3 linked regions of the Coturnix japonica genome follow. The protein of the gene in region 2 interacts with the protein of the main gene of each other region in a biochemical or structural test. Links are inferred from orthologs where the notes say so. Each region holds a gene or a part of one and is shown on either strand. Other genes may lie near its edges. The genes, in order: CDC42, IQGAP1 and BRAF.

What was found.
Region 1: the proteins of IQGAP1 (region 2) and CDC42 form a complex in vitro, tested with the Homo sapiens proteins (6 studies listed by BioGRID and IntAct). The link is inferred for Coturnix japonica from reciprocal best matches to the Homo sapiens genes IQGAP1 and CDC42.
Region 3: the proteins of IQGAP1 (region 2) and BRAF form a complex in vitro, tested with the Homo sapiens proteins (2 studies listed by BioGRID and IntAct). The link is inferred for Coturnix japonica from reciprocal best matches to the Homo sapiens genes IQGAP1 and BRAF.

Annotation. Positions count from the first base shown.
Region 1 is NC_029536.1:5,523,473-5,527,091, forward strand, and holds part of CDC42 (cell division control protein 42 homolog), read right to left. Parts: intron 3,083-3,619; coding exon 3,010-3,082; intron 1,278-3,009; coding exon 1,168-1,277; intron 1,049-1,167; coding exon 851-1,048; intron 1-850. UniProt on the Homo sapiens protein: Plasma membrane-associated small GTPase which cycles between an active GTP-bound and an inactive GDP-bound state. In active state binds to a variety of effector proteins to regulate cellular responses. Involved in epithelial cell polarization processes.
Region 2 is NC_029525.1:18,431,753-18,435,843, reverse strand, and holds the start of IQGAP1 (ras GTPase-activating-like protein IQGAP1), read right to left. Parts: upstream 2,849-4,091; 5' UTR 2,834-2,848; coding exon 2,482-2,833; intron 988-2,481; coding exon 888-987; intron 1-887. UniProt on the Homo sapiens protein: Plays a crucial role in regulating the dynamics and assembly of the actin cytoskeleton.
Region 3 is NC_029516.1:55,344,928-55,349,301, reverse strand, and holds the start of BRAF (serine/threonine-protein kinase B-raf), read right to left. Parts: upstream 2,801-4,374; 5' UTR 2,617-2,800; coding exon 2,479-2,616; intron 1-2,478. UniProt on the Homo sapiens protein: Protein kinase involved in the transduction of mitogenic signals from the cell membrane to the nucleus. Phosphorylates MAP2K1, and thereby activates the MAP kinase signal transduction pathway. Phosphorylates PFKFB2.

The sequences.
Region 1 (3,619 bases), on a different chromosome or scaffold from region 2:
CAACAAAATGACAAAGAGTGAAGAATTTGACACTGCACACCTCTGGTGTACATCAAGTAGGTACTAATCCTTCACAGAGGTGCATTAAATAATCTGTTAAGAGTCGCAATATATTGTGCAGGAGTGGACACAAGATTATGTTTCCCAGGCATCCAAAGACAAGGTAGATCCCAGCTGCCAGCCAACACTTACCACCCTCCCCACCTTAAGAGGAAAGGACTGCCAGGTTTTGGCGCCTCAAGTCAACAATTTCAGATGTTTTTAAACTCATTTTCACTCATCAGTTCACAGCATAGCCACATTTATATCTGAAGAGCTATATGATTAGGATTTTCTGTTTCAACAGCACTTCCATTTTAAGGCACACAAAGGAAGCAGATCACCATAGACCAGGTAGGGAGAAGAGAAAGAAGCTCTCAATTAGGAAAGCTTCTATTCATAGAAGGAAAAAAAAAACTTACTTCACTGAGACAGAAACCGAGATCTGTTGATGTTTTTTTTTCCTGTGACTGCTCTCTTCAGTTGTGAGCTGTATTCTAACCCACTTATTGTCCGTAACATGCCGCCTAAGTTTTAGATAACTACTTTGCTCCAATACAAAAGCAAACCCAGCAAGCAAATCTTCCACCTCCCCTCTCCACTTGTGCCTGATCTTCACAGGCCAATTTGCTTTGTACCACTGCCAGCTACTCGTGCCTGAGAACAACAGGACAGAGAAAGCTACTGTGTCAACAGCAGAAATGGAGCTCATATCCTTTCACATTCACTCCAAGCTGTTTTTCCCCTGTAACAGAAAAAAATATATATATAGAATACAAACAAGCAGAAATGGTCAAAGACCAACTCTTACCTGCGTAAGCGCAGAGCACTCCACATATTTAACAGCCTTCAGATCCCGGGCCAGTTTTTCAGCTGTCTCTGGAGTTATGGGCTTCTGCTTGTTCTTGGCAAGCTTCTCAATTGTTGAGGGATCATCTCTTAGATCAATTTGGGTCCCAACAAGCAGGAAAGGAGTCTTTGGACAATGGTGAGTAATTTCAGGTACCCACTAAGGAAAGAAGATACAGTATTTATTACTGACCACCTAGTCAACTTTAACACTTTAGATACTACTAAAATCACAGCAGCAGCTCCTTCTCAGGAGGACACAGGCAGAGTTGAACCAACCTTTTCTTTCACATTTTCAAATGAAGAAGGAGATACCACTGAAAAACAGACCAGAAATACATCTGTCTGTGGATAGCTGAGGGGTCGTAATCTATCATAATCTTCCTGACCTAGAAGGGGAGAAAATTAACACAGAATTAGAGGCAGACAGCAAAATATTGCCTTTTCCAGGTTGTCAGAATACACATTCCAGCACAAAAGCATTATTGTGAGCAGTTCTAACTCTTACGCAAATACACATGCCCTGAATCCAAACATTCAGGGAGCCTTGTATTCAGATATAGAATTCATTCAGTTGCTATGTAACAACAAGCTGCTTAAAGTCACAAGAGAGAAGGAAAGGTCAGCAGTGTGCCCTAATAAATTCTTTTTAGGTCAAGCAGCCTCAGACTGCAGAATGTAAATCTGGCTATAAGTCAGGTCTTCTGCATCTACTCTATCCATAAAATATATTTTGTCATCAAACTTCAGTAACACACAAAAACTAAAGTTCCAGAAGCAGTTTTGCTCCCTAGGAGGTCCCAAATCACACTTGAAAACATTTCAGGATGTGTTCTTTGAACAGTAAGAGAAGAATACTGCTGTTACAGGTGTGGTAGTAATAAGACTATCTAGCAGCCATCCCCTAAAAATACACACAGTTACAGGGCAGGCTGTGCTTCAATGGAAGCCAAGCCATTCCCTCTGGGTCTGCACATCAGACAGCAGCAGTCCCTGCAGCACAGCACTCACAGTGACCCACTAAACTCAGCAGCAGCCCATTTTTATACCTTCTCAATTCAGTACCACTCTTCTTCGAAAGCAACACAAGGCTCCCATTTAAGCAGCTACTCCATGAGATGGCGACCAGCTCAGAAACGTGTGTTCAAAAAACACTCAGATTTCAACTGAGTCTCTTGTTTGTCATACAGGAGAAAGACCTCAGAGACCTTAAAGGAGCTGAGCACACCTGGGACATCTCAGTGGAAGATCTGTAGTTTGAAGATGGAGACCTCAACAGCTTGTGACTGCTACTGCACAAACAAGGGAGCTAAGCAACTTGTTGCAATTGAAAGTATACCCCAAAAGCTGTCTTCACAGCAGAAAGTTTTTACAATACATCAGTCATTAATATGCGTTTTATCCATTTAAGTTCAGTAGCTTGCACTAGAAGCTACTGTTTAGTAAAAATATGGGTGACCTTCATTGCAGCAGCACTTTAATTTCAGACGCTTGGCTCCATAAGGAAAGCTTTTATTTTCCCCAAGTATATCAAGCTATATGCACTAAATCATTTGGCTTCTTCTCCACAGAGCTTCCTATCCGAGAACTAAGGAGTTTGTACGAACATACAAACCAAACTTGTGAGAACAATGTGAAGAATAATTAAAGCCACAGCATTTAACTGTAGCACAAGATCACACCAGTAATTAATAAAACACTAACAATGCATCTGTAACAATACAGCTGGAAAGAGTCACATTAACTTCTACTAAGGCAATTTTAGGCAACGCTTTACCAGCCAAGTTCTCAGACAAAACAACTCAAACAATAGTTTGCAATATCAGAAGCTGCGTACAGCTCTGGTATTATTACATGCTGGGGACAGGACAAGTCCTGGGTAAGCTCCAACTCATTCTTGTTAAGTTCTCATGCTTGCTAATAAACACAGATAAATGTGTAATCACTGGACATTACCCCAGTCATGAGCTCCAATACAGTCTAATGACAATGAACAAAGCCTGCAGACTCTTCCCTTTCACTGAAGAACCAACTTTTGGTGGATCAGGTTTACCTTTACATTCAACACCACTTCAGCTAAACCTAGGGCAGTTGCAATGACATGATCACTCAGTTTCTTACCTGCAGTATCAAAGAGGCCTAGAGTGTAAGGCTCTCCTCCAATCATCACCGTTACAGCATAGTTATCAAAAACCTGTTCGGGAAAGAAACACATTTAAGAGCTATGTCAATATGCCATCTTTCAACCATCACACTACTTACCATGTTGAACCCCCTCCGATTTGTACAACAGTCATCTCAACAGGACAGAATCCATCAAGCTTCCTGCACTGTCACTGAGGCTGTTAACAGGACGATTCCATTTGTGATAGGGATGCGAGAGTTACTTCCACGCTTCTAAAGTAAAGGCACACCAGATACACTGCTGCATCTAATACCATAAAAGCCACTGAACAAAACACCTGTAACGTCTCTTGCCTATAACTGAGAAGATCAAGCCACCAGCACCTGCGTAGCAGCTGGCACAACCGTCCTGCCCACAAGGTCACAAGCACACACTGCATCAAGTGTTTCACCCAACAACTTGTTTACAACACAGCTGATCACATGCTCCTACCCAAAGCCTTTTCCTTCTAAACCCGCAACTCATTAAGGAGTATTCTGCTGGAGGTCAACACCAATTCCAACGCCTATTTCATCTTCAGAACCAGAAAAGGACGTTTCAGAAGCT
Region 2 (4,091 bases):
GCAGTCAGTGCTTCAGAAGTTAAGACAGCATCTCACCATCATATTCTTCCCCCAGACCACAATTTAGTTGCTGCTGGTCCAAAAATAGTAGCCAACCTATCTTTGTAACTCAAATTTTCTTCTCAAGTATAGGCTCATCTCACAAGTATCTCTTTTTTCAGCTCTCATAAAAGGTTTGGTAGTTATTTCAAGACTCTTACCACTGATTCAAGCTCCTCTAGCTGACATCTTACAATGCTGTCAAGTCTACACCCCTGACCAAAATATTTTATCCCCCACTATACATTTCAAAAGCAGAAAAGGTGGTCTGACTTTCAGTGACAGAGCTTTGACTTTCCTCATAACAACGGTCTTTCCCATATCTTATTTCCTTCTCTTTCATTTAATGGTGCTACTATAGTTCCTTCTGACAGTGTTGGAAGGACCTATAAAGTCAGGTTACAAATAAACATGTGTAAAGGGTTGCAGATAAATAAGAGAAAGAGAATAATCTGTTCTTCATGTCCATCAGGAGGTAGTAAAGTAATATTACACCAAAACAAATACAAGTTAGATAATAGTAGGAACCTTTCAGTGCTGAGAATACCAAAGCACTAGAGCAATGAAGTACTGGTCACAAAAAACAAACAAACCAACCAACCAGAACAGCTTTAAGAGCACGTTAGATGAGCCTAACAGAAACTGCTACGAGGCACTGACATTTTTACCTCCTTGAGGCAGCGAAACAGTCTGGAGGCCCACAGAGTTGAGTTTTTTAGTGTTCATTTCAAAATGAATCTATCCAGTCACTGAGAAATACACAGGAGGTAAGCCGCATCCAAATTATTCCCCTTACAAAATACCATGACTTTATAAGTTCCAGACATTTGAAACCCCCTTATCCTTACCTCTTTGCTTCCTCCAGATGACAAAGGTACTCATAGGCTACATTCTGGCGCCGTCTTTCATCCATTTCCTCTGCTGTTAATCTCTCATTATCCAAAACAGCTGCAAATAGTCAGATAAATATACTCAGACAGAAGAAGATTGAACATCTCTAGCATCTGGATAGATCAATGCAATGGGAAAGGCATTACAACAAAGGTGTGATGATGGAAGGACTAGCACAACAGAGGTGCTATAAAGGAAGGGAAGAAGATCGCTCACCTGGAGCAGAAGATCTCGGATTCACATGGGAAAGCTGCACCAAGGGGGGATCTCCAGAAAGAGACCCTTGCCAGCAGCAGTCAGCCCCTAAATGGGCTCTAGGAGAGGTGCAGCCAGGCTGCATCCCTTCCTGTCCTACAGCTGAACTGCCTTCACCTGTGCTCCCAGGGCTGACCGGTCCTTTCCACAGGTGCTCAATCAGTGGGTCACATAAGGACTCAACAGTTCCCATCAGTATCCCAGTATCAAAAATCATATCCAATTTCCTCACAGGCACTCACCACAGGCATAATTTGTCTCAGAAAAATGAAAAGACAAATACATATGTTATCTGCAAGTAACAAAGACAGAGCTTCCTTACCCTTCCACCCTTATTGCATAAGTGTGCCATCTTCCCTCTCTGATTTCTCAATTTGACTTTGATTCAACTCTTTCTCATCTTCCAATTTCTCTGAAACCATCCATTTTTTTCTTACTTCCTTCTGGCTTTGCCTTTCTCTTCCTCACAAGCACATCAGCGACACACCACTCTCCACCTACCTACTGATTTTGACAGTCAAAGATTAAAGGACGACTGTATTTTCACATCGTGTAATTTCTTCTATACTGCTATATTTCATCCCTAAAATGATGGAAATACTCCTCTCAGCCATCACCTGGAGGATAATAATTTAGATCCACAATCTGCATATCGTCTTTGGATCAAACTCCTAAGTTATATGCCCAAATCTTTCTGATTTCTGTATGTTCAAACACTCTTTCCACTTACTGTTAAGTACCACAGTCTCGTGCGGGTTGGAAGGGCCCTTAGAGATCATCGAGTCCAACCCCCGGGATTCGAGCCTCTGTGTAGCAGAGCGGCACTTCTACCACTTGTGCCACAGGGGGGATTCGAACCCGGGCCTCCAGTGTTGCAAAGTGGCGTCCTTAACCACTGCGCCACCGGAGGCACACTAAGTGCCACACTAAGTACCTCCTCCACGCTCTCATGCTGAAAAAGCCATATATATATTGTTTTGTTTTTGAAGGTTTTATAGATCAGTGTGACAAATAGGAAACGCCTCGTACCATCATTAGTCAAATGCGAACTTACACCTGAAACACTCTCAGCAAACAAAAACCAACGGATGAGGTATCAACCACAGCATTTGGGACAGAGCAAGGCCTCGCTAAGAACGGCCAGGACGTCTCAGAAACCCGCCCTTGGCGGCCACACGCATCTTTCCCATTACATCAGACTTTCCCAAAGTTACAAGAGCTGAACACGGCTTCGTGCCGCGGCAGAGGCCGGGAGCGGGGAGGAGCCGCCGCCTCCGCCCGCCCCGCAGACCCCACCTGCGGCCGCGCCCCGACCGTCGCTTTCGCCATCTCCCATCCGCCGCGCGGCGCCCGCTCCATCTTTGCTCATTTTTGACGTGACGTCTCGCACAAGCGACCATACGCCACAGAAATGTCGAGCCGAAGCTTCCCTCTCCATTAGCCAGCATATTTTCGAGAGATGCGGGCGCTCCACCCGATCGCATCCGATCGGTTCGGATGGTAGGCGAGGCACCGCCGCCGACACGGCAGGGAGGCGGCCGGATCGTGCTGCCACGGCAGCGGCCCGCCGCGCCCTTCTCGTGCCCGCCGAGATTGCTGCAGCAGCGCAGCCCCCGCCCCGCCGGGCTCCCCTCCCCGCGGCGGACATGTTGGGCGAGGCGCTGCGCGGCGCACGGCAGCGACCCTCGCGCGGGAGGCGAATGACGGCCCCGCGCCGCTCGCGCCCGCCGCCTTCACCCGGCGCTCTTCTCCACCGCCCGCGTTACACCCGTCGGGCTCGGGCGAGTTCGCGTGTCCCGCCGCACCCGCTCCGCGGGAGACTCCCCCGCTGCTCCCCCGCTGCCCCCCGCCGGAGCCTTCGCGCCCAGCAGCGGTCCCGGGAACGGACGGGCTCGGGCCAGGCGACGCCGGTCAGGAAACCTCCTGGAGGGGGCAGCGACTCCCGGAGCCGAGCCCGAGCCCGAGCCCCAGCCCCAGCCCCAGCCCGTACTCACAGCCGTAGTGCGGCCGGGACATGCCCAGCCCGTCCACCTCCTCCGCCGCCATAGCGCTGCGTTGGTCCGGGCCCGGCCGGGAGCTGGGCGCGGCTGTTCCTCTTCCTGCAGCACCGGGTGTGGCGGGGGAGGAGCCGCTCGTTCCGTTGCCGGCTCCATCCGCCGCGGTTCGGTTGGGAAGCCGCCTCTGTTCTGTTCTGCCCCGCCCGCCCCGCGCCTATCGCTGGGCAACAACGTCACCGCCCGACCCCGTCCAGCCTTTGCTGTGCATCCAAGCCTGGAGAACGTTCAGAGTGTTACAGTTAACACAGAACGTCAAACCGACCGGCCATTATTCAGAGAAAAGGAAAGCTGGCATAATACAAAGTCGTATGCAGATAAGGCTTTGAGAATACACAGGCTCAGCACCAAAGGATTGAAAGATGGAAACGTATCATTATTACAAAGACCAGCTTTACTAAGCAGATGGACAGATCGCTGTGCACCTTGCAAATACACAAACCTGAGTACATTTCTCCTCTAAAATATGTATGTATATAGAGATTGATAGATATGTAAGTACACCAAAACGCAGCGGTATCGATCAGAACTACTGAATGATTTTCACGTGAAGAGGAGCTACTTACATTATGACTTCACAGCTGACAAAAGAGGTACCCAGAGAAAAAAGGGGAGAAAACGAGACTGAAGAAAAGATTTCTTCATGTCTATTCATAACATAATAAATAGGGAGGTAAAAATTAAGGAAACATTAAAACTCAGCAGTGTTAAACCAGATAGAATCACACAAATTCAGATGCTGGTCAAAGGAAGCTGAATGCTCAGGAGCTGAATGCTCAGGAGCACTGCTGAGCAGAAGGGATCTTCTCCTCCTGTGTATTCTCTGCTGCCCAGTGCTCTCAGCTGAACAGC
Region 3 (4,374 bases), on a different chromosome or scaffold from region 2:
TTTAAGCAGCATTCGTTCATGATCTTGACACAGAGCAGCTCCTTTACCATACGATTTCAGCCGACACGTTTGTGTCTCCTGCTTTAAGGTCTATCAAAGATCCTCCTTGTCCGCCCTCCTCTTACAGCTACAAACTTAGCATAGAATGGAAGGTCTTCCTCTGGGAAATCAAGACTGTGTTTCCTTCAGGACTGCAGAGGGAACTATGGAACTAAAGCCCTTCTAGGTGCCTCCTCTAAATACGTGAACTTGTGCTCCCTGATGCACTTTCACAGCAAGGTTACTGTTAAAGCCCAGATTTACATTCTCTTGAAGGGAAACAGAACACCAAAACACGCATTTACATGAGTCAGATCTAAGTACTTCAGCATTTTCTGACTTATGTCACCTTGCATCTGTGTTATGGTTACGCTGACTTGTTTTTGTATTAAGAACAGTTTTCACTTTAACTCGATCAGCAATTATTTGATCTCACGCTTTATTAAAACCGGGTTTAGATGGCGTAACATCCATACTGCAAACAAAAGGTAATTACCTACGACATGAGGCAGAGCTGGCTAACTGACCACCAAAACCACATCAAAAAACACAAACTCCAGCACCAGCTCTGCCTCAGACCTGCGTGTTTCATTATTTCCAATGTGTAAAGAACAAAATCTTGGGGAAAAATAAATACAGTAACAACAGCACACTCCCCTTAACCATGCATTTATGCACCCGTACTTGAGAGGTAGTGAACCCTCCAGCAGCCTGCTGCTTCTCTTTCTTCCTTACAGAGATGTAAGCTACAAAGGGGGAAAAAACACAAACCAAAGCAACCCCTTGCTGTGTAGTTTTGCATTTGGAGTGAAACCTGATGACCTACAGCAGCAGTTTTGAAGCTGAAGCGACATCTCTTCAGGGATGAAAAAGAGATTCGAATAATTCTTTTCTAATGCCACTGCTTTCCTCTATTCTCTCCCATGCACCGCAGTTTATTTGCCCCACTCAGCTGTATTACCATGACTGAACCCAGGGCCACAAAATAAATCAGTTACTGTAACGATTCCGCTGATATTTATGTTATTTTTTTATGGCGGAAATAACACAGCAATTCACTTCCACATAGAGCTGCACCAGCACGATCAGGGCAACAAATGCCAATGAGATGCTTTTGAAACTCATTTTGCTGAAGGAAGGTGTTTGTTAAAGTCTAGTCTGTTTAGGTTTCTCAATCAGCAAAGAGTTTTTCCTTACTCAGGAAAGCTAAGAGTGGACTTGCATTACACAAAGCACTTAATCACCCTGCTGTTGAGGTGCAATGTATGAGCACAGTGCTGAGCTTTGCCTTCCTTCAGCAAGGTGAGCAGGTGGCTCCTTAAGACGGGCAAGTCCTACCTCCCAACAGCATCAACAGGGGAAGCCTCCTTCCCTTTTCTTCTCTCTAGCCACCTACTCAGCATGAGCTCTAGTGCTTGCCAAATTTCCCAACGCATGAATTCTATGCTACTCCATAATGCTATTAATACAGAAAAAGCATTATTAGCCAGTGAGCTGGAGTCAAATGGAGCTCTTGGTGAGCCCAAGGCCTACTCACCTCTCTGAGTGGAGGTAGGGGCAGAGAAAGGCCTGCCCCAAGGCAGCAGGGAGCTCAGTGCTGCTCAGGGCTCAGAGAGCTGTATGGATCACACAGACCTGCTCAGGAAGGTTGAGCTGAAACGGCCTCCGGTGACCAAAGCCCTGAATGAGGGTGCAGAGTCTCTGGTAGCTGTATTTACCTCTACAACAGACTTGACATATGATACATGGCAAATCGCTGAGACTTCAGTGCCTACAGTGTTCAGAACTGCAGAACACCCAGCGTTGGTGCTGCATATCACAGTCCACCTCCTGACAATGGTTCACAAGTGTCAGAGCCTCAGACTTTAACCCATGCAGAACAGGCAGCACTGCTCCGTCTGGGGATGGGAAGTTAAATAAGGTGCCCCGCACCACAGCAGTATGTCACAGGGCTGCAGATGGGGCCTGGCACCCCCAGCACCCACACAGCCGCTGCCCATCGCTGTTTCTTAGCAGAAATCACAACCCAGGCCAAGAGCCGCAAAACAAACCCCTCCAAACCCTATATATATATTTTTTTTAATGCTTATTTCAAGCGCTTCAAAACTACCCGGACCAAGCGATTATAAAATAGCCGCACAAACGCTGTGCCGCCCTCAGGTAACTCTCCGTGTCTTCTCCGAGCCGGGCGGGCCGGCGATGCCCCCGCTGAGGGCCGGGGAAGCCCCATCCCTCCACCTCCGGTCCTACAGACGGCCCCATCCCGAGCAGCAAGGCAGCAAGGAGCCTCCCCGCCCCGCCACCGCCACCGGAGAGGAGGGGGAGGGCCGGGGCCTCCCCTGAGCGGGGATCCCCTCCGCCGCCGTGCGGGCCGCGGCCGCCGGGTCCGGCGAGGCGGGAGGGGGGCGGGGACCCGCGGCAGAAGCCGCTCGGCCTTACCTCCTCCGGGATGGCCGGGTCGCCGCCGCCGCTCCCGGCGTAGCAGGCGCCCAGCACGGGCGGCGGCGGCTCGGGCTCCATGTCCCCGTTGAAGAGCGAGGCCCCCTCGGCGCTGCTGCCGCTGCTCAGCGCCGCCATCTTGGATCGAAGCTCCGGGGCGAGGGAGGGGGAGGGAAGGGGGAACCGCGTCCCCGCCGCCGGGACGGCCCCAGCCGCGACCCGTAGCGGGAGGGGAGGGGGAAGGGGGCGAGCGCCGATCCCGGGCAGCTCCCAGCGGCCCGCGCCGCCTCACGGCACGTCACGCCCGGCCCGTGACGTCACCCAGAATCGCCGCCGCGATCGACGCGCCTGCGCCGCGGCGTCACCGGGAAACACCCTGACGTCACGGCGCGACCGACCGTCGCCCTGGGAACTCGAACGTGGGCTCGAGGCCCAACACACGGCACAGCGCCCCGCAGCGCCCCCTAGCGGAGGGAGCGGAACCGCCGTGCTGAGGTGCCCTGCGTGGACACAGCGGGAACATCACAGATCACAGAATGAGCCGGGTTGGAAGGGACCTCAAGGATCATGTAGTTCCAATCCCCCTGCCTGGCAGGGCCACCAAACATACACATTTACTAGATCAGGTTGCCCAGGGCCCCGTCCAACCTGGTCTTGAACACCTCCAAGGACGGGGCATCCACAACCTCCCTGAGCAGCCTGTTCCAGGGACTAACCTTAACCCATCATGATTTGGTTCAGATCAGTAGAAAAATGGGCTGTTCAAAGGCTGTCCAGCTGAACACCTGAACCTCCAGAAAATAATGTTTCAGTGATTCAGTGAAAATCAGATGGTTATCTGCCAGCAGCCATCTCCTTGTGGGCATTTGAACGCATCTCTATCCTTTCCCTTTAGAAAACATTAGTTTTAGTGAGATGCCCCAAAAGAAGAATATCCGAAAGGGCTGTTAGATGAAACTTCCTCCTGGTCTTATTTGTAATTGGCTTTCCGTGGATGACAGTATCTCAAAAACAAACAGACAAAACAACAGCAACAACAAAGAGATAAAGAGGCCCAATTACCTCTAGCACCCATTTAAGCATATTTGGCAGTCGCTATATTTGAAGATATACTGTACATCTTTTGGTATTTCAAGAGAATTCTGTCTGATAGCTCCAAGGTTGGGCAACTGAGAATGCATAGCCGATGTTTTCACTATTTCTGTACAGACAGTATGTATTTTTCCCTTTGGTAGCCTCTTGCAAGCTTTTAGTTTGGGACATTTCCCATTCCGCAGCCCTGCTGAACCTCAAATTGTCATATCTTCAGTGCAAAATCAGGTTATATTCAGATGGTGATTGAAATTTGGCAGCTGAACAATCTCATTGTTGTCCTATTTTGGTTCTTTGCCTTTGAATGAAATACACTGGCAGAAACGATGAGGAGGAGTGGAAATGGACAAAAAAATAAGGTAAGGGGAAGCATAGGAAAGTATCAGCCCACAAGGTTCTTAACTCATCCTTCATCTTACCATTAAAAGCAATGTTGATATACCAAACTTTCTTTCATGTGTAATTAAAATATTCGGCATTTTTCTTGTAATGAAGTTGGACACATTTACATAGTTTTAATTTGACTCCAGCATATTTTTTTTAGAGTCATTATGTTTTGCTTTGACAGCAGTGTGTGAGACGGCCTTGGGCATGGGACAAGTGGGAGGACTGGGGCAAGGGAGTGATTTTGCATGTAGGTCCCTTTCATGTCCTGCTCAGCATCGCAAGAGCAAAATGACAGCCTGCTTCTTTCCTTATGTTAGTACTGACATCAGGGTCCAGAATTGTGTGTACCTCAGTGTCCTGCCTTTCTGCTGGCTTCCTGCCCTCGCTTGCACACAGGCATGAGGAGATGAGAAAACA